Linked DNA regions of Arabidopsis thaliana. The protein of the gene in region 1 interacts with the protein of each later gene in a pairwise test. Each region holds a gene or a part of one and is shown on either strand. Other genes may lie near its edges.

Evidence for each region.
Region 2: the proteins of JMJ14 (region 1) and NAC050 interact in binary tests that used the Arabidopsis thaliana proteins (3 or more experiments, as listed by UniProt).
Region 3: the proteins of JMJ14 (region 1) and NAC052 interact in a two-hybrid assay, tested with the Arabidopsis thaliana proteins (one study listed by BioGRID).

What each region holds. Positions count from the first base shown.
Region 1 is NC_003075.7:11,006,291-11,014,669, forward strand, and holds JMJ14 (JUMONJI 14), read left to right. Parts: upstream 1-2,267; 5' UTR 2,268-2,528; intron 2,529-2,666; 5' UTR 2,667-2,713; coding exon 2,714-2,755; intron 2,756-2,896; coding exon 2,897-2,968; intron 2,969-3,305; coding exon 3,306-3,383; intron 3,384-3,402; exon of another isoform or gene 3,403-3,462; coding exon of another isoform or gene 3,463-3,483; coding exon 3,484-3,990; intron 3,991-4,119; coding exon 4,120-4,344; intron 4,345-4,604; coding exon 4,605-4,766; intron 4,767-4,914; coding exon 4,915-5,283; intron 5,284-5,473; coding exon 5,474-6,290; intron 6,291-6,381; coding exon 6,382-6,485; intron 6,486-6,588; coding exon 6,589-6,786; intron 6,787-7,007; coding exon 7,008-7,298; 3' UTR 7,299-7,552; downstream 7,553-8,379. Other genes in the region: LSD1 zinc finger family protein, read left to right, coding at 1-19, 107-148; AT4G20390 (Uncharacterized protein family (UPF0497)), read left to right, coding at 778-989, 1,081-1,204, 1,322-1,579; GSNAP (gamma-soluble NSF attachment protein), read right to left, coding at 7,809-7,901, 8,064-8,193, 8,313-8,379. UniProt on the Arabidopsis thaliana protein: Transcriptional repressor. Histone demethylase that demethylates 'Lys-4' (H3K4me) of histone H3 with a higher activity for H3K4me3 and H3K4me2 than H3K4me1. No activity on H3K9me3/2, H3K36me3/2 and H3K27me3/2.
Region 2 is NC_003074.8:3,261,933-3,267,590, reverse strand, and holds NAC050 (NAC domain containing protein 50), read right to left. Parts: upstream 3,244-5,658; 5' UTR 3,182-3,243; coding exon 2,962-3,181; intron 2,772-2,961; coding exon 2,742-2,771; intron 2,661-2,741; coding exon 2,592-2,660; intron 2,488-2,591; coding exon 2,210-2,487; intron 2,119-2,209; coding exon 1,933-2,118; intron 1,790-1,932; coding exon 1,698-1,789; intron 1,587-1,697; coding exon 1,541-1,586; intron 1,470-1,540; coding exon 810-1,469; 3' UTR 501-809; downstream 1-500. UniProt on the Arabidopsis thaliana protein: Transcriptional repressor that binds to the motif 5'-(C/T)A(C/A)G-3' in the promoter of target genes. Also binds to the 5'-CTTGNNNNNCAAG-3' consensus sequence in chromatin.
Region 3 is NC_003074.8:3,265,851-3,272,440, reverse strand, and holds NAC052 (NAC domain containing protein 52), read right to left. Parts: upstream 4,617-6,590; 5' UTR 4,509-4,616; intron 4,431-4,508; 5' UTR 4,367-4,430; coding exon 4,147-4,366; exon of another isoform or gene 3,722-4,146; coding exon 3,444-3,721; intron 3,364-3,443; coding exon 3,178-3,363; intron 2,548-3,177; coding exon of another isoform or gene 2,515-2,547; exon of another isoform or gene 2,505-2,514; coding exon 1,833-2,504; 3' UTR 1,239-1,832; downstream 1-1,238. Other genes in the region: NAC053 (NAC domain containing protein 53), read right to left, coding at 1-109, 188-465, 558-723; NAC050 (NAC domain containing protein 50), read right to left, coding at 5,660-6,319, 6,391-6,436, 6,548-6,590. UniProt on the Arabidopsis thaliana protein: Transcriptional repressor that binds to the motif 5'-(C/T)A(C/A)G-3' in the promoter of target genes. Also binds to the 5'-CTTGNNNNNCAAG-3' consensus sequence in chromatin.

The DNA.
Region 1 (8,379 bases):
TGATGAAAGCGGAAAGTTGGTGAGTATTTCTATCACCTGTGTTCTTCTTCTTATTTACCACATTAGAGGAAGATATGACAAAGTGACTGAAACACACAAATTGCAGGTGAGCAATGTTGTTGTTGGAGTGACAACTGACAAAAAGTAATCAAGAATGAGTGAGATCTTAAAGATCAAATCCAAATTCTTCCTCTATTCCTGCGTTTGGTTTGTGCATATTACATACGCGGAAAAACTGTATGTTATATATCTCTTGACTCCTTTTTAACCCAAGAGAAAAAGCTTATCAGAATCTCTTGTTACTGCATTATTGGGGTTTATTCAAAGTTGAAGACACAAGGTTTTTGCTCGAATAATTTGGCATTCTTTTGCTCCATGGAACTTGACCTTCTCTTCTGTTTGTTGACTTCTAAAACTCCATCGGCCCTTGTGGCATTGTTAATGTATGTATGAATATAATCTGATACACCAACCAATCATTAAGATTTGGGTTTGAAATCTGTCTCTTCCGTGGATGAGATATGCTACATGTCACAAGAACTGGTCTTAGCTTTGGTAGATAAGACTTGTCTTAGAGCAAGTCTTGAAATCTGGAAATCTATTTTGCAGTAATCTTGTCACAACAACCATAACCTAATCAGTCAGTACCCTCCAAGAACATTAAAGTTAGATGATCCGACAAAACCTCTCAACAAGACCAAACTCTTTCCATATAAATACTCTTTAACACTGACACAAAGTTTCATCACTTTCTCTTGATCACTCACTGCATCAACAATGGCCAGAGAGAAGATTGTGGTGGCTGGTGGTACCACAAAGAGCTGGAAACTACTCTTGGGGCTGAGAATATTTGCATTCATGGCTACTTTAGCTGCAGCCATTGTAATGTCACTAAACAAAGAGACAAAGACCTTGGTTGTGGCCACCATTGGTACTGTTCCTATTAAAGCCACTTTAACCGCTAAGTTTCAGCACACACCGGCTTTTGTGTAAGCGAGTAAAACCCTATACGAAATCGATTCGATACATATTGAAAGCAAAATGTTTTTGAGTTATTAACATTGATTCTTGGTTTTACAGGTTCTTTGTTATAGCTAATGTAATGGTGAGCTTCCACAACTTGTTGATGATTGTGGTTCAGATTTTCAGCCGGAAACTGGAGTACAAAGGTCTTCGTCTCCTCTCTATCGCCATTCTTGACATGGTATAAACATTGGTTTTCAAATCAATTTACTGGTTTGATTTCAATTGAATTAGTTTGAACGTTTGGAAAAAAAGCTAAACGGTTTCTTGATAATCTAAAAAAACGTTGGAAAAAAAGCTAAACGCAACACTAGTATCTGCGGCTGCAAACGCGGCGGTGTTCGTGGCAGAGCTAGGGAAGAACGGAAACAAGCACGCCAAGTGGAACAAAGTCTGCGACAGGTTCACCACTTACTGTGATCACGGCGCAGGAGCAATCATCGCAGCATTCGCCGGAGTCATTCTAATGCTCCTCGTGTCCGCCGTCTCTATTTCCCGCCTCTTAATCAATTCTAAAAACTTCTCCACCACCGCCACCACAACCTCCGTCGTCTAAAACATCGTGGCCAAAAATTCAGCAACATGTGTGTGACCATTTTATAGATGTTGTGGCTTACTTTGTGTGTTTGTCTCTCAAGTCACTAGCAAATTGTGTAATGCACTCCTTTGTTCTATCACTTTCACATTTGTATTCAAGTTTTCATTTCTCTCTTATCTTTTTATATAATTCTAAAATGACAAAAAAAAATTCACAAAGTATATAGTACATTGAAACAATGAGAAAAATCTACAATAGATGATTAGATAAGACCAATTCAAGATAATTTATACCTTTTATTTCTCAACTACTTCTTCTATTTATGGAAATATAATTCTAATCAATTGTTAGTTTTTTACATTAAAATGAATTATATCAACCGACTAAAAAACAAATCAGTATTAGTTCTATCGCATTGTAGTTCCCATACAACTTAATTTTTGTGTTGTAAATAATGATCCTACTGTCTCTAATAAATGTGAATCAATAATCATAACTATTGAAATCCTTTTCTTTTTGGTTAGTAAAAATGAAGTGTAAATAGTATAACTGTTTAATTTAGTTCAGATATACAAATCAACAAAACTACTTAATTTGAAGATTAATTCAGTTTTTTTTTTTTTTTAATTTTCTGTTTATAAAACTACTGAATTTTATTTGGTATAAATGGATTGAAGATTTTATTACAAAACAAAATCACATTTGGCGGCTTCTTCTTTTTATGTTCTAAACCCTTTTCTTAGATCGGACTCCAAGAAATCTACTTGCTTTAATCGTTAACCTAATAAATTCTTCTCTAAGTTTTTTTTTTCTTAACTCATCAAAGAAGGAAAGAAAAAAAAAAACCTCTTTCACAGATATTTAACCAAAAGGTTTTAGATTTATACTATACGTTACAAATAAAATTCGAGAGTCAAATTCAATCTTGGGAAAAGCTTTTGTTCCGAATCTTGGCCCCTTCACGAAGGTACACTTATCATCTCACTCTCTATTTCCAGACACAAATCTATATGCGTTCTGGGTTTTTTTAGGGTTTCGAAAACGGCACTGCATTTCATCAAGTAAGGGTTTGTTTTTTATTTAACAGATCTTTGTTCTTCCTTAGGTCACGGGTTAAAAGTATCGATCTTTGTGAACTTAATCTCACTGTAAATGGATCAGCTTGCATCTCTAGCAGAGTCTGTGGCTATGGAGGTTTCTCATCTTTATCCTTTTGCTTCTTTGATTTGTGTTTTTTGCTTTCTCCTCCATTTGTAACCTCTAATTTGCATGTTTGCTAGATTCAATTAGCACTGTTGCAGTTTCTGAATGTGGAATTGTGTTTATTTCTTGCAGGAAGATTCTGAGAAACAATCGATTAAAGGAGAGAGTAGTCTTGAACCTGACTCTACTCCTTCTAGTCCTAAAGTAAGTTAATTGGGTTTCTAGCAAAGTATTGGTTGGGTAAAGAGGTTGATGGCTTATCTATGTGCTAAACCCGTTTGAGTCTGAAAATCCAATCAATTCTAGTTTTAATTAAGTTCGTGGCTTTTGCTTATCAGTATCTTCCTTCAAAGATCTCATCTTTCTGAGAGTCGTTCTTATTGTATTTGTTTTAGATTAAGCAAAATCTATTTACTTGGGTCTTAAGAATTTAGCAATCTCATCTGGATCTTATTAGATTGTTTGTTGTGTTAGCTATCTGATTGTCCAAGAGCAGATGAATCTGATTCATGAATGATATCGTTTTGTTGCGTATTTGAAGATAACTGCTAGGTGGAATCCATCAGAAGCTTGCAGGCCTTTGGTTGATGACGCTCCCATCTTTTATCCCACTAATGAGGTATTTAAAATACTCGAGTTGCAATTTTGGTTCTGTCTTGGTAGTTAAATTGTTATCTTATCTGAAAATTTTGATCCTTATGATACTGCTTCATGGTCAGGATTTTGATGATCCACTTGGTTACATAGAGAAGTTGCGCTCTAAAGCAGAATCATATGGCATATGTCGAATTGTGCCGCCTGTTGCATGGAGGCCCCCTTGCCCTCTGAAGGAGAAAAAAATATGGGAGAATTCTAAATTTCCCACCCGGATTCAGTTCATTGACTTGCTTCAAAACCGAGAACCGATTAAAAAATCTACTAAAACCAAGAAGAGAAAACGGAGAAGAATCTCTAAAATTGGATACACAAGAAGAAAAAGAGATTCAGGCTGTGATACGGCTTCCTCTGGCTCTAGTGATAGTGAAGGAAAATTTGGTTTTCAGACTGGGCCAGATTTTACCCTGGAAGAATTTCAGAAGTATGATGAATACTTTAAGGAATGCTATTTTCAGTCAGAGGATCATCCTGGTTCCAAAGCGTCTGAAAATAAGAAATTTAAACCTAAGGTTAAGGACCTTGAAGGTGAATATTGGCGGATAGTGGAGCAGGCAACTGATGAAGTAGAGGTATGTACATGCAGCAATATAATGACATATCAACTATTTGTGTCTTTCTTGGTTTCACCATTTTCTTTTGCATTTATTTGAATTTGATGTTCTTCGAACTTGCTACTCTTGTTTTTGGTCCTATGACAGGTGTACTATGGAGCTGACTTGGAAACAAAGAAATTTGGAAGTGGTTTCCCAAAGTATAAACCGGGGTATCCTATAAGTGAAGCAGATCAATACTCTCAATGTGGTTGGAACCTAAATAATTTGTCCCGTCTGCCCGGATCAGTTCTAGCTTTTGAGAGCTGCGATATCTCAGGAGTCATTGTGCCATGGCTTTATGTTGGAATGTGCTTTTCAACTTTTTGTTGGGTAAGTTTCATTTTCTTAGGGTAGACTCTTGCTAATTACTGAATCGCATGAATAATCTTTTGATATTTCCTGGAAATTATATGTTGCTGAAAAAAAGCTGATGGAGTTCTATTAAAACCTGTTATTGAATCAAAATTTTATTACTTAAAGGATGTCATGCCTTTGGGACCAAAGTTATGGAATTGATGCATTTTTTGTGTGCTTTCTAGGAGCTATGTACTAACCATCTGCTATTTACCCCCTTACTTTGTTTGAAACAGCATGTTGAAGATCATCACCTTTATTCCATGAACTACTTACACACAGGTGATCCAAAAGTTTGGTATGGGATCCCTGGAAACCATGCTGAGTCTTTTGAAAATGTAATGAAAAAGCGTCTTCCAGATTTGTTTGAAGAACAGCCTGACTTGCTACATCAACTGGTGAAAGTTTCTCCCAATTCGTTTTTCATTTCAAGCTCTGCTGATTAATTAGAACTCCTTACGTGTGTAATTTTGGAGATGATATGGCGAGAGCTGTCTTTTGGTTAAGATAATATGTATCTCACTCTGCACCTCCTATTGTTATCAGGTCACTCAGTTATCTCCAAGAATCTTAAAAGAGGAGGGAGTACCTGTCTATCGAGCTGTCCAGCGCAGTGGAGAATTCATTCTAACCTTCCCTAAGGCCTATCATTCTGGGTTTAATTGTGGTTTCAACTGTGCGGAAGCAGTAAATGTTGCACCAGTTGATTGGCTGGTTCATGGACAGAATGCAGTGGAAGGCTATAGCAAGCAGCGGCGAAAGAGTTCATTGTCACATGACAAGCTGCTTCTTGGAGCTGCTATGGAAGCTACTTATTGCCTCTGGGAGCTTTCACTTTCAAAGAAGAAGACTCCTGTGATTGCGAGATGGAAAAGGGTTTGTAGTGAGGATGGATTGCTTACGAAGGCAGTCAAGGTAATTTTGGTTCTCTGTTCTTTTTTCTGTGTGCATGCATGTACAATACACACTCAAAAAAGCATAGGCTATATGTTACATTTCATAGATTGACAACTATCCTCTGAAGTAATAGTGTACTAGTCTACCTGATTTTTGATAAGATTGAAACAAACATCTTCAATGGCACTAACATAGCTGTGGTTAGCAGAAGCGTGTGCAGATGGAAGAAGAAAGACTAAATCACCTTCAAGATGGTTTTAGCTTGCGAAAGATGGAGGGTGATTTCGACAATAAGAGAGAACGGGAGTGCTTCTTGTGCTTCTATGATTTGCATATGTCTGCTTCAAGCTGCAAGTGTTCCCCCAACCGGTTTGCATGTCTTATCCACGCTAAGGATCTGTGTTCATGTGAAAGTAAGGATAGATATATCCTAATTCGCCACACCTTGGATGAGTTATGGGCACTGGTCAGAGCTCTAGAAGGGGATCTTGATGCCATAGACCTATGGGCAAGTAAATGTCGTGACCAGTATCCTTCACAGCATCCAAGAGCAAGAGAATATGCTTACCTCAAGTCTGCCCCATGTATAAAGAGCCGTGGTTCATCAAAAGTACAGCAGCGAGAACAAAACAATCTTCAGTTAGTGTCTGAACGCTTACAAAGTGATCTAACCTCAAACAAGGAAGTTCAGTTGAAACAAGATGGTGATTCAGATGTAAATCGCCATGGTCATGAAAGCGAAAGAAATCATGTACATGGGATCACTGATAAGTCAGCTGTCACGGATGTAAAACTTGGTGTGGGAGGTAAGTTTGATGAGAAGAAGATTTCGGTTGAATCTCAAAACCCACATTCAGTTTCAGATGTAGGGTGTAGCGAGCTGGCGAAGAAAGTGGATGGTTGTTTAGGAGGGAAGGACCAAAATGCTGCAACCAATAGGTTAAGTCTCTCTGTTGAGCTTTTGAGTTCTGGATCTCTCGTTGTTAAAAAGCTGTGGTGCAGTAAACAGGCCATATACCCAAAAGGTGATGAATTGAGAATTTTGGATGAGCTTTATACTTTAGTATTTTATTTTTTATGTCTTCTGAGACTTTTGCTTTTGATTGTATGTTACAGGGTTCAAGAGCCGTGTTAAGTTCTTAAGTGTGCTTGACCCAACAAACCTAACCAACTACATCTCAGAGGTTCTGGATGCAGGGCTTCTTGGTCCATTGTTCAGGGTACACTAACTACGTAGTGGTTTCGAGAATATAACTGAATATCTATTTATCATGCAGAACACATGAAGGTGGTAAGTTACTGATCAATCAGTATTATTTCCAGGTCTCAGTAGAAGATTACCCCACTGAGAATTTCTCGAATGTATCTGCTGAAAAGTGCTGGCAAATGGTGACACAAAGGCTCAAACTCGAAATCATCAAGAAATGTGATCAACCAGTTAGCTCTTTGACCTCTTTACAACCTTTGGAGAGTATAAATGGGCTTGAAATGTTTGGATTTCTCTCCCCGCACGTAATTAAGGTGACAATCAATTTCTCATGCATAGCCATAAAACTATGATATCCTGAATCTTCTTGCGGTGGAAAGTTTTTTTTTTTTTTTTTTTCTTCTACTTTGCTGGATGAGAGAAGCTCCCATCTTCTGTTTCAGTCCCCTTGAGCATCTCTCTTACTCGCCTACATGACCAAATTTCCATATGTACTTTTTAGCGTTTTGGACTGAAAGTTGACCATTGTGCACAGGTGGTTGAGGCTCTTGATCCAAAGCATCAATTGGAGGAGTATTGGAACCAAAAAGCAGTGAAACTGTTTGGTGCTGAACCAATAAAGGAAGGAGAAAAGGATGATACAGAGAAAGGAGGGGCTTCAGATCCCTCTTTGGACCGGGACACAAGGCTTCTGCGTGGACTGTTGAAGAAGGCGACACCTGAAGAATTAGTAATGATGCATGGACTTCTGTGTGGTGAGACTCGCAACACCGAGCTCAAGGAAGAGCTCTCTACTTTGGTTGATAAGATGGAGATAAGTCCTTAAGGAGGAGCAAGCAGATAAACACACTAACACCCTTTGAAGTTGATTGTGTTTGTTGTTCCTTTGGTTATAAACTGTATCAGTAGAGAAATCTAGAGAGGCAATACAAAAGTAGACAAAAGGGTTACTTCGTTGACATGTCTTTCCTTTTTACCAAAAAAGGGTTTAGGATTAATGATTGTATTATACTGTGTTGCATTTGCAATGTACCATTGTTCTCTATATTTCATTTGCTTATTTGTAACAGCTTTTATGATTAGTAGACGATTTCAAACAACAACCAGATCCAAAATTGAACCAACCTGTATGAGCTGTTGTAACAAGATAAAATAACATACTTTAGAGTTTTAGCTGCTCGTGTTTTAAGAAAAATACATGCATAAATTCGAATTTAGAGCCTATATAATCAATCTTTCCCACAGTACTTGGGACAAACGATAATATGTTTTTTTTGAATCTTTGGACTGAAAAGAAGCCAAGTGTAAATATGAATATGTACAAAGAGGAGAAACTTTAAGTGAGATCATCCTCGTCTAGATCGTCATTAGTGTTCATCTGAATTGCAGTAACATCTCCAGTGGGTAGCTTCCTAGCCAACTTGATAATCTGCAGACAAAATACTTATCCGTATAAGATTCCAGTAGTTTAATGAAACATTCTGTGATCATATGGTGTCACAATAACCAGCATAATGCAGAACAAATACATTCGGAAACACAGAAAGACATAATTAGGATTAGGATTCGACAGATCATTTAAGTGAATTACCATATGATCCAAATTCGAGACAGTGCTTGCACTCGCCACCTTCTTGATTTCTTCAATGTCACCTTCATTATAGGCGGTGAGAAGTCTACTAGCACTTCGGCTCTGATCACTCTTCAGAAAGGCATCAATCCTAACCATGAGAAGAAAAATATTCAGACACTAATTTGGTATCACAATTCCTAAAGAGTTCATGTTTTCTTGTTCATAGTAACATATATGATCCATATAAAAAGAGAAAAGTGTACTCACTGAGAACAGTCATTGTAGCATTTTTCTGCCTGCTGCAGGTCGTGAGCATACAGATATAAGATGATTG
Region 2 (5,658 bases), on another chromosome or scaffold:
GATGTAGTTAAAAGTAAAATATAAACACCAAACTCTATAACACCTACGAAATTCCATTGCCTAGTAAGATATGAAACCATTTCGAAAATACGTCTGTGATCAAAACTTCTTCTTGAAAACTTAATGGGAGAGAGATGGAATCCAGGCTTGAATCGTACCAAGCGCTTTTCGCTTTTAGAGAAAAAACAAATAATTGCAAATTACGTGTAACAAAAGTCTTCTAACGTCGTTGACGGAACCACATTCCTAAATCGTAACGCTGAATTAGTCAATGACGATTATACCCTCAATCATTTCCACTAATCACGACTTTACCTAAGAAGCTCTCTTCCCTGTGGACTGTGGAGACAGTCACACAGAAACATCAAGCAACAGAGTGGTTCTTGTCCGGAAGACCAGAAGGTCATTTCAAATGACAATGACGATTATGCCCTCATATCTGACCACTAATGATTACCCCAAGGAAAAAGCTTTCTTTATGGAGACTGAACATTTCTTGAGAGGAAACCAAACAAAAGCGAGTTCTTGTCTGAAAAGACTAGATAGATAGATGATAATATACGACAATGGATCAGCCTGAAAATGTTCCCAAAAGATGCAGAAACATCCAAAGTAAAAAAGGATAAAATAAAAAGACCTAGTTGGTTGGCTCCGTTCCGTTTTATCCTAATTTTACAACAGAGATTCATAAGGTTTCTGATCCGTCTGAAGAAGCTACATCCATAGCTCATACTATTAAGAAGATTACAGCTAAGAGGCAAAGAAGAAGAAGAAGAAGAAGAAGACACCTGGAGAGATGTTGCGGTGGTTTAACTAGCTTGTCCACTGGCGTTCTTCTTCTTAAGTTCCTCGTTCTCCTGACGCAGCGCATCGATTCTTGACTGGAGAATGCTGATCATAGCCTCTGCACTCATCATCTCAAGCTTGAAAGTTTCTCTTTCAACAGACATCTGGTGAACCTCCTTCTGGAGATCATTAACCTTCTCTTCAGGAGATGCAATTGGACTAGGAGGAGAAGTTTCCTCTTTCTGCTGGTTTTCTTTCTTGTCGGAGATACCCATAAGTGAGAACTCAAGCAATGCAGAGATGGCAGTGTTGGTAGCAGCAGCAGCAGATGATGAGATTAAGGTGGTTGTATTGTCGACGGTTGTTATTGTGGACGAACAATGGTCCTGTGTGTTCCTGCTTGAGTTGTTGTTGGACTCGTTTTGGCGTCTACGTTTGTATTGCAGGAGAGGTAGTGGAGCTTCTTTGTTGAGAATGCATAGAGAAGGAGGACGCTCATCTTCTTCTGCGTGCTCGCGTTTGAGTGTGTCCTCATCTTCTTCATAACCACTATGGTTGTTACTCTCCTGTGGCTTGAAGGCACTCTCATGATGATTCTGTTGGTTAGGTTCGATGTCCATTGGAGTAGCATCTCTCGGTAGCTCGTTGATGTTAATGAGATCCTTGCTTGCTGAATGCATTTCCTACAACAAATTACAAGTTATGTGAACCCCAACAGACATAAAATATCTCAAACCAAAACGCGTTGATCGACTTTGCAGATTAACCAAAACACAATAAATATTTCTCTTGTTGAGCACCTTTAATGCCAAACGAAGATTGTAAGTCTGAAATATCATGTAATCAAAGGATAAATCTCAAAGAAAAAGGACCATAAAGAAAAATTAGATATCTTGTGAATCAAGAGAGACCTTTCATTAGATAAAGCTGTAAGGTTGAGCTGAGTTCTACAAAAGGTGATAGCAAACTTAATGGAATTGTGCAGTTTAAGTAAATCAGCCCACTGAAACAGCACTTAGAGAAGCAAAGAGCTTTTGCAATAAGAAATATAATATCTTGTGAATCAAGAGAGATGATTCACATTAGAGGGATGTATCACAGAGGTTATGCATATAAGAAACATTTGAGTATAAAGAAAGTACAAACCTGGTCCATCTGGTTGTTTCCATTGGCTTGTGGTAGAGCCTCTACCCTGACCCTAACGTCTATTCCTGGAATCAGAGCTCCTCCACCATCAGCCCATTCTTCTTCCATGAATGGCGCATATCTGTTCCCACTTGGTGGCCCAATGTTATTCTTGTGAAACACTCTGCACAACACATATGCATCCTGCTGCACCCAGACAAAGAAGTAAGATAAGATAGGATTCTTACAAAATGAGATAACCCCAATTCAAAAGTAACTCTTTTGGACAACATAATACCAGCAGGCTTCCGTTAGTTTCAGTTTCATATTCCACAAGGCGATACTCGTGCATGACCCAATTAGTCCGAAGGCCGTCTGGAGCACGCCCGCTGTGGAAAACAAGCGTCTTTTTCATACCGAGCAACTGAATATCCCGGCGGATTTCTCTGTCTTTTCCAGTTGCTTTCCAGTACCCTTTGTTAGTTGCTCGATTCATCCTAGCACCATTACCGTACTTCTTATCTAACGCACTGAAGAAGTACCATTCTTGGTCCCGAGTTTTCAACTTCGAAAACACTGAAACACACAACACATCACAAGGTTTTTTTTCTTTCAGATCATACTTGAGAACACTTCAGATAGCCAAACACACAAGCAACAAACTTCATTTCCTGATCCACAAGCAAACATAACTGTAGCACAAGCAAACATAACTGTAGCACAAGCAAACACGAAATTCTTAAAGCAATCTGAAGAAAATTCGACTTTCTTCAGTTAAGAAGTCAATTGGATGGAATGTCTTCACAGTGTTAAAGCCTAATTGCCTAAACTTAGCGCCAGGTACGAACAGAGAATCTTCTCTGCAACAAAAAATTTCCCAGAAAACGAATCGGAGCACGTAAAAGCTAAACTCATTTCCCAGAATTGAGCCAGAAGACGGAACAACCAATAAGCCCAGGCGACAAAAATCCCAAATCAGAAGCATCAAATTCACAGAAACCCCCAAATCATAGAGATAAGCAGAAATGAAGAAGAAGAAACCTAACGAACCTGCTAAATCCCAGGGCTCATGCTTGTAGATATCTACCTCTCCAATCGCATCGAAGCGTACAGGTTTACCCAGAACCTTCCTCTTCAAGTAATAGCTCACGAGTTCCTCATCAGTCGGATGAAATCGAAAGCCAGGAGCAAGCGAGGTAGCCGACACAGCAGTACTGGGCGCAGTCGCCGATGGCGGCGAGGACACAACAGCCAGAGATTCGCGACCCATAAAAAGAAAAAAAAAAGACCGTATTTGTTTCTAGGTTTTCTTCTCAATTTTTTCAGACAAACCAGAAATATAGTTGTCAAAATGTTTTTTTTAATATGAAACCAGACAAACCAGAAAAAGAGAAGCAGGTACCTTCAATTGCAAGAAATTTGCTTTCTTTTCGAGTTCCTAGAAGGCTAGAAAAAAAGTAATTTCGGATTGCGATTACTATTTTTCATTTTCAATTTTAATAATAATTTCTCATTTTTGAGTGTTGCAGTAATAAAACCCTAAAAAATGTTACTGCTTAGCTTTTTGTTGTCGTTCTATGCAGTAAAATAAAGGAACCACTAGTCCTAGTGTGTGGTCTGAAAAGTAAGTATCCAACGATAAATATTTTTTAAAAAGTAATATGTTAGACAGATGATGAAAAAAATAATGAAAAATTAAATATTGCTTATGTGATTAATAACTCTTTTTAAAAGGTAAAGTATTTTTTTAAAAGATTAGAGTTTATTTGTTTCCTTTAATGTTAAATGCATTGTATACATCTTTAGTATAAAAATCTTATATTGTATTTGATAAATTATTGTAGTTCAAAGATTTACAAACGCTAGGATAAATAGAAAATAATCTGGTTGGAAAATATGTAATGGTTTTGTGCTTATCAAAAGTTAAATGCTGACATGTACAGTAAAACCTCTATAAATTAATAACTTCTACAAATTAATAAATTATTAAGATTCCAAAAACTAGTATAAAAAGTGATATATATCGATAGATTAATAAGATAATAATTATTTTGAATGTTCTATGTAAATATATGGTCTCATTAATATCATAAATTAATAATTATATAAAAGTATCAACTATGTATATTTATTATATGTAAAAATATTCTTTAAAATTTATTTTTAATATTTTTTTGCTTAAATTTGTATTATTTTTGTTTGAAATTCAGTTCTAATAGTTTTACTATATCAAAAAATTTTGGTATTATTTTCTATACATGAAGTTGACCAAAAAAGAAGAATTAATGAGAATAAGATAGAAGGTGAAAGAAAATAAAAAAGGAGTGACAGATACGTTTGCTTGCAGGAGGATACTTTACCAATAAGGCAAGCTAAAGGGGAGGAGAGACTTGGTCCACACGAATCATCATCTTTCCCATTTTCTGTTACTATTTATTATTCTTCTTTTCTCTATTTATTTTCTAGTACAAGTCCTCTTCAAATTTGTAATTCGTAGTTTGGTTTTCGTTTAAACCATTTGCAATTCTCAAATATAAACATTAACTACGATTTGAACTTGAATAATTTACTTGTGGGGTTTGTATTACTGTTTAAGTCAAGGTGACAAAGACAAAAGGTTACTTTCTTCTCTCTTTTTTTCATCTTCTAGTAAAATGGAATATTTAAAACAATATTATTCGACATGTTGAATTTTGTTGCTGTCGACATTTCGATATTGAAATTCTATATAATTATGGTGTACGGGGGTGGAATTGATGAGGCGTACCAGAAAACTATATGATATTTTTGCACTATTTTCTTCTTTTTTGGTACGCTATGTCTCTTGTCTCTTATGCTTTGTATGCGTAACTAATTCGAAGGCAGAAATTAAAACGAAAAATATCCAACTCTTACTTTTACACATATTATTATGAAACTAATAAAGAAAGTAAGAGTAAAAGAAAACTCTATTTTATTTATTTATTTATATAGGTTGTCAGCTATCTGACACCACTGTCTCCAAAAAGGACAAAATGCTAAAATATCAAGACTTTTTTTTTTGGCTCAAAAAAAATATATGGTTTGTGCCTCGTGTTTAAGCAATGGGCCAAATTTCTTCTAAGTTAGAATATTAAAAGCCCATGATTTATTTGTAGCCCATTTCGGTGACGGACGGGTGTAAATCAAGCCCATGCTAATTTATTCTTCTTTTTCTTATTTTCATAAACGCAGTTTCTCGTATCGAGACTAGAACAACATGCATTCGTCTTCACGAATGAAACACTGAATCTTGAAGAGCTGAGAATAGTGTGTTATGAAATTTCAATTCCGGTAACAGGTTGCATATTTCAGGGTAAGATTTGTGATCCGTTGCAAAGTATATCCATAATAAGATATGTGACATTAATAAACAAAATATATAAAAGCATAAATTAAGGGCATAATACATTGCATTTTGATCTCTCGCTCTCGACCTGCTATTTCAATGTCAACATGAACAAGTAATCTGTTTAAATTGCAAATTTAACCAAAAAAAAGAGTTGGACCCGTCACGCTCTTTTCATGAGCTTTATTTTCTTAAAAGGTTTGAGCTTTTTTTTTTTCCAATCCAAAAAAAAAAAAACATTCTTTAACTAAAAGTATACATGAACGTGACATAAGTTTTTAGAAAATGATTTGAATGGATCAACTGAAAATAATAGTATAGAGAAATTTTTTATTTCTATGTATTTTAGTTGATTCATTTAAATATATACAAAGAAGGAT
Region 3 (6,590 bases), on another chromosome or scaffold:
TATCATCCTCCTCCTCCCACTCCTCCTCAACAAACGGAGCACCGTACTGCTCTCCATTTTTAGGTCCGGAGCCACTCTTCTGAAAAATCCTACAAAGCACAAACGCATCCTTCCCACAATTCCACAACAAAGTCAACAACACAAATCCCATTAAACAACAAGGAACTCAAAAAGATCAAAGTCTTACTTGGTGAACACCAGTTTTATCAAGGTCTTGATCAACCAACCGATACTCATGCATAACCCAATTGGTTCTTTCGCCACGAGGAGCTCGACCTTTGTGATAAACAAGAGTCTTCTTCATCCCAACGACTTTTGAACCATTAAGAATCTCTCGATCTTTCCCTGTAGTCTTCCAATATCCCATCTCAGTCGCACGATTCGTCTTTGATCCATTTCTATACTTCTTATCAAGCATACTGAAGAAGTACCACTCCAAGTCTCTACTTTTCAGCCTCGACTTGTCTATTTCCCACCAAAATACAAAACAGAATTCAAATTCTATCATCGGTTCCTATACAATATCGATCAAATCATCAACATATTGAAGAACTGACCTGGGAGATCCCAAGGCTCAGATTTGTATACATCGGTAACAGAGATAGCATCGAACTTAAAAGGTTTATTGCAGATCTTTCGTTTCAGATAGTAACGAACGAGTTCTTCGTCTGTGGGATGAAAACGAAACCCAGGAGCGAGCGATGTTACTGAGCCACGACCCATATACTCGATGGACCAAAACTCAAACACAAGGTTTATGAATAACTTAAAAGAGCTGTTCTGTCGAATTCGAATCAAAAGAAAGAGCAAAACAATGATTTCGAAATAAGGGGTTTAGAAATTGAGGAAAATGGGACTAAATAGAGAGAAAAAAAAAAGAAGCAAATCGTTGAAGACGAGTGATGGTGACGACGAACCAATCGGAGCTAAGCGACCGTAGCTAGAAAATGTGCGAAAGAAGTTTCACGCCGTGAGGTTTTAATATTCCAGGAAAGTGTGCCGCGAGAGCATATCATGTGACTGGCTGTGACTGTTTTCGGGTGACAGTCTTTATTAAACTGACACGTGGAAGTCTTGCACTAGTCATCAATTTTAAAGTCTCTAGAATTTGTTGAGGTAGTTGGTTGGTTCGCGCAAATGAAGATTTATCCACTTCAATAAATATCAAGATGACTAAAATTCTATACTATATGCAATTTTGTTTGAATAGAGTAAATAAATAGAGAATATATTTGAAGTTGAAAAAATCGTACCAAACACTTTTTCGCTTTTTTAAAATTATTGCAAATTACGTGTAACGAAAGTCTTCTAACGTCGCTGACGCATCCACATTCGTAATCCTAGCCGAAAATATCCTTACCATTAACCACGGTATTACCGGAGACCGAACATAATTCCCAATTATTTTAAACAAAGAAAGTTCTTCTTGTCTGGAAATCTAAATGATAATGCAAAGGAAATGACAATTATGCCCTCGTACCTAACCACTACTACCCCAGAGAAGGCTCAGTGTGTTATGAAGACAACATTCTCGAGACAACTTAAAGATAGTTTTTGTCTGAAAAGACTAGATAGATAGATGATATATGACAATGGAGCAACCTAAAAAATGTTCTCAAAAGATGCAAGAACATCCACACAAAAAAAGAAGAAGGATAAAACACTCAGCTCAGGGGCTCGAATCCGTTTTATCCTATGTTACAACAGAGATTCACACAGTTCGCAATCTGTCTAGAGGAGCTATGTAGATGGGTCATAGTATTAGGGAGATTAAAGCTAAATAAAAGGCGAAGGGCAATAAGAAGTAACCTGGAGAGATGTTTTTAGAGCCTTTATTGTCCATTAGCATTGTTCTTCTTGAGTTCCTCGTTCTCCTGACGCAGCGCATCGATCCTTGACTGGAGAATACTGATCATAGCTTCTGCACTCATCATTTCAAGCTTGAAAGTTTCTCTTTCAACAGACATCTGGTGAATCTCCTTCTGGAGATCATTAACCTTCTCTTCAGGAGATGCAAGTGGAGTTTGAGGAGGCAAAGGTTCCTTGTGAGGACGTAGCGGTTGCTGCGGCTTTTCTTTCTTGTCGGAGATACCCATGAGTGAGAACTCAAGCAATGCAGAGATGGCAGTGTTGGTGGCAGCGGCAGATGATGAGATTAAAGTGGTTGTATTGTCGACAGTTGTTGTTGTGGACGAACAATGGTCCTGTGTGTTCCTGCTTGAGTTGTTGTTGGACTCGCTTTGGCGTCTACGTTTGTATTGCAGAAGAGGTAATGGAGCTTCTTTGTTGAGAACGCATACAGGTCGAGGAGGACGCTCCTCTTCTTCCATCTGCTCGCGTTTGAGTGTTTCCTCGTTTTCATCATAATTATTATTGTTGTTATGCTCCTCCGGCTTGAGGTCATTCTCATGATGATTCTGTTGGTCCGATTCGATATCCAGTGGAGCTGTCTCTCTCGGTGGCTCATTGATGTTGATGAGACTCTTGCTGGCTGACTGGATTTCCTACAACAAATTACAAGTGAACCCCAGACGACGCATAAATTATCTGAAACCAAATGCTTCAATCAATTTTGCTGATGAAGGATTAAAACTGCATTTTCACTAAAACAACAAATCATTCTACTTCTGGTCAACATTTACTGATCAATTAAGTGAGTTCATATGATGCACAGTAAAATTGCTGGTCAAATGAGGATGCAAAGTTTGAACGATCTTGTAATCAGTATGATTAAGAATAAAGCCCAAGAAACAAAAAAAAAAAAGACCACCGAAAATTCAGATATCTTCTAAATCAAGAGAGTTGATTCATCAGATAAACCTATAAGGTTGATTTCTACAAGAGTTGGTTACAGACTAAATGGAGTTACTAGCGTCACAGCCCGCTGAAACAGTTATTAGGAGAAGCTTCACTTCAACACAGAGTTTTGCAGATAATAAATATAATATCTTGTGAAACAAGAGAAATGATGCATCAGATAAATTTGTACATTTGCACTAAATAACGTTGAAATAGTAGATTGGTTCATAAATAGACTAATGCAGTTAAATAAACTCACTCAGCCCAATGGAAAACTAAGAAAGAGAGTATTTCAACAGAGTTTTTTGCATACAAGAAATATTGAATGAAACTAATAAGGTTTGGGTAATGAAGCCAGAGTAAGAAGAAATCACAAACCTGGTCCATCTGGTCGTTTCCATTGGCTACTGGCGGCGGCTCTAGCCTGAGCTTAACGTCTATTCCTGGAATCAGAGCTCCTTCATCATCAGCCCATTCCTCTTCCATGAACGGAGCATATCTGTTCCCACTTGGTGGCCCAATGTTATTCTTGTGGAAGACTCTACACAACACATATGCATCTTGCTGCACCCAAACAAAGAATTGAGATCTTTTGGAAATTATCAGATAAACCAAATTCGAAAGTAATTTGGACAATACAGTACCACCAGGTTTCCGTTTTTCTCGGTTTCATATTCCACAAGGCGATACTCATGCATAACCCAATTAGTCCGAAGCCCGTCTGGTGCACGCCCACTGTGGAAAACAAGTGTCTTTTTCATACCGAGAAGCAGAATGTCACGGCGGATTTCTCTGTCTTTTCCAGTAGCTTTCCAGTACCCTCTGTTAGTTGCTCGGTTCATCCTAGCACCGTTTCCATACTTCTTATCTAATGCACTGTAGAAGTACCATTCTTGGTCCCTTGTCTTCAATCTCGAAAACACTTAAACACACAACACAACTAAGAAATTACTTAAAACCAGACTTAACTCAAAACTTCAAACTTTTTACATTTCCTGAACCACAAGCAAACAAAACTATAGCACAAGTAAGCATAAAATTCTAACGGAATCTGGAAAAAACGAATATTTGAACCACTTAAGAAGTCGATTAGATGAAATACTACCTTCACGGTGTTATAGCCTAAACATAGCAAAATGTAACAACAGAGAATCTGCAACAAAATTTCCCAGAAAAATGAATCGGAACCTAAAAAGGTAAAACCTTTTTTCCAAGAATTGAGTCAGAAGAAGCGAGAGAAGCCCAGACCACAAAAATCCCAAATCAGAAGCAACAAATTCACAGAAAACCCCCAAATGGAAGAGATGCACAGAAACCAAGAGAGAGTGGAAGTGAAACCCAGCGAACCTGCTAAATCCCAGGGCTCATGCTTGTATATATCGACCTCTCCAATCGCATCGAAGCGTACAGGTTGGCCCAGAACCTTCCTCTTCAAGTAATAGCTCACGAGTTCCTCATCAGTCGGATGAAATCGGAAGCCAGGAGCAAGCGAGGTCGCCACCGAAGCAGTACCCGGAGCAGTCGCCGAGGGCGGCGCAGTCACAACAGCCACAGATTCGCGACCCATTAAAGCAAAATAGAGACCGTACTTGTTCTAGGGTTTTCTCAATTTCCCTTTCACCAAACCTCACCTGAAGAACAAAAACACAAGTTGGGCAGATGGTTTGACGAAGAAGAAACCAAAGAGATAAGCACAAGATTTGAGGTACCTTCAATTGCAAGAAAATTTTGTCTTTCTTTTCGCGTTCCCAGAAAGGCAGGCTAGTAGAGAGCAACAAAAAAGTATTTTGGATTGCGATACCAATTTTCGATTTACATTTCATTATGTCGCAGTAATAAACCCTAGCAAAATTTTACTGCGTAGCTTTTTGTAGTAAATTATACTTGGGAGTAAATAATGAAAAGTAATTTAGTAAATTACACTTTCGTAGTCATCTTAAAAGTAAATAATGTTTTTTTACAACTCTCGAATAAAGAACAAACCTACCAAAAAGTACAATCATTCAGGGTTCCGTGTGGAAAAAAAAAAGACAGGTTCCGTATAATAGGACGATGTAGTTAAAAGTAAAATATAAACACCAAACTCTATAACACCTACGAAATTCCATTGCCTAGTAAGATATGAAACCATTTCGAAAATACGTCTGTGATCAAAACTTCTTCTTGAAAACTTAATGGGAGAGAGATGGAATCCAGGCTTGAATCGTACCAAGCGCTTTTCGCTTTTAGAGAAAAAACAAATAATTGCAAATTACGTGTAACAAAAGTCTTCTAACGTCGTTGACGGAACCACATTCCTAAATCGTAACGCTGAATTAGTCAATGACGATTATACCCTCAATCATTTCCACTAATCACGACTTTACCTAAGAAGCTCTCTTCCCTGTGGACTGTGGAGACAGTCACACAGAAACATCAAGCAACAGAGTGGTTCTTGTCCGGAAGACCAGAAGGTCATTTCAAATGACAATGACGATTATGCCCTCATATCTGACCACTAATGATTACCCCAAGGAAAAAGCTTTCTTTATGGAGACTGAACATTTCTTGAGAGGAAACCAAACAAAAGCGAGTTCTTGTCTGAAAAGACTAGATAGATAGATGATAATATACGACAATGGATCAGCCTGAAAATGTTCCCAAAAGATGCAGAAACATCCAAAGTAAAAAAGGATAAAATAAAAAGACCTAGTTGGTTGGCTCCGTTCCGTTTTATCCTAATTTTACAACAGAGATTCATAAGGTTTCTGATCCGTCTGAAGAAGCTACATCCATAGCTCATACTATTAAGAAGATTACAGCTAAGAGGCAAAGAAGAAGAAGAAGAAGAAGAAGACACCTGGAGAGATGTTGCGGTGGTTTAACTAGCTTGTCCACTGGCGTTCTTCTTCTTAAGTTCCTCGTTCTCCTGACGCAGCGCATCGATTCTTGACTGGAGAATGCTGATCATAGCCTCTGCACTCATCATCTCAAGCTTGAAAGTTTCTCTTTCAACAGACATCTGGTGAACCTCCTTCTGGAGATCATTAACCTTCTCTTCAGGAGATGCAATTGGACTAGGAGGAGAAGTTTCCTCTTTCTGCTGGTTTTCTTTCTTGTCGGAGATACCCATAAGTGAGAACTCAAGCAATGCAGAGATGGCAGTGTTGGTAGCAGCAGCAGCAGATGATGAGATTAAGGTGGTTGTATTGTCGACGGTTGTTATTGTGGACGAACAATGGTCCTGTGTGTTCCTGCTTGAGTTGTTGTTGGACTCGTTTTGGCGTCTACGTTTGTATTGCAGGAGAGGTAGTGGAGCTTCTTTGTTGAGAATGCATAGAGAAGGAGGACGCTCATCTTCTTCTGCGTGCTCGCGTTTGAGTGTGTCCTCATCTTCTTCATAACCACTATGGTTGTTACTCTCCTGTGGCTTGAAGGCACTCTCATGATGATTCTGTTGGTTAGGTTCGATGTCCATTGGAGTAGCATCTCTCGGTAGCTCGTTGATGTTAATGAGATCCTTGCTTGCTGAATGCATTTCCTACAACAAATTACAAGTTATGTGAACCCCAACAGACATAAAATATCTCAAACCAAAACGCGTTGATCGACTTTGCAGATTAACCAAAACACAATAAATATTTCTCTTGTTGAGCACCTTTAATGCCAAACGAAGATTGTAAGTCTGAAATATCATGTAATCAAAGGATAAATCTCAAAGAAAAAGGACCATAAAGAAAAATTAGATATCTTGTGAATCAAGAGAGACCTTTCATTAGATAAAGCTGTAAGGTTGAGCTGAGTTCTACAAA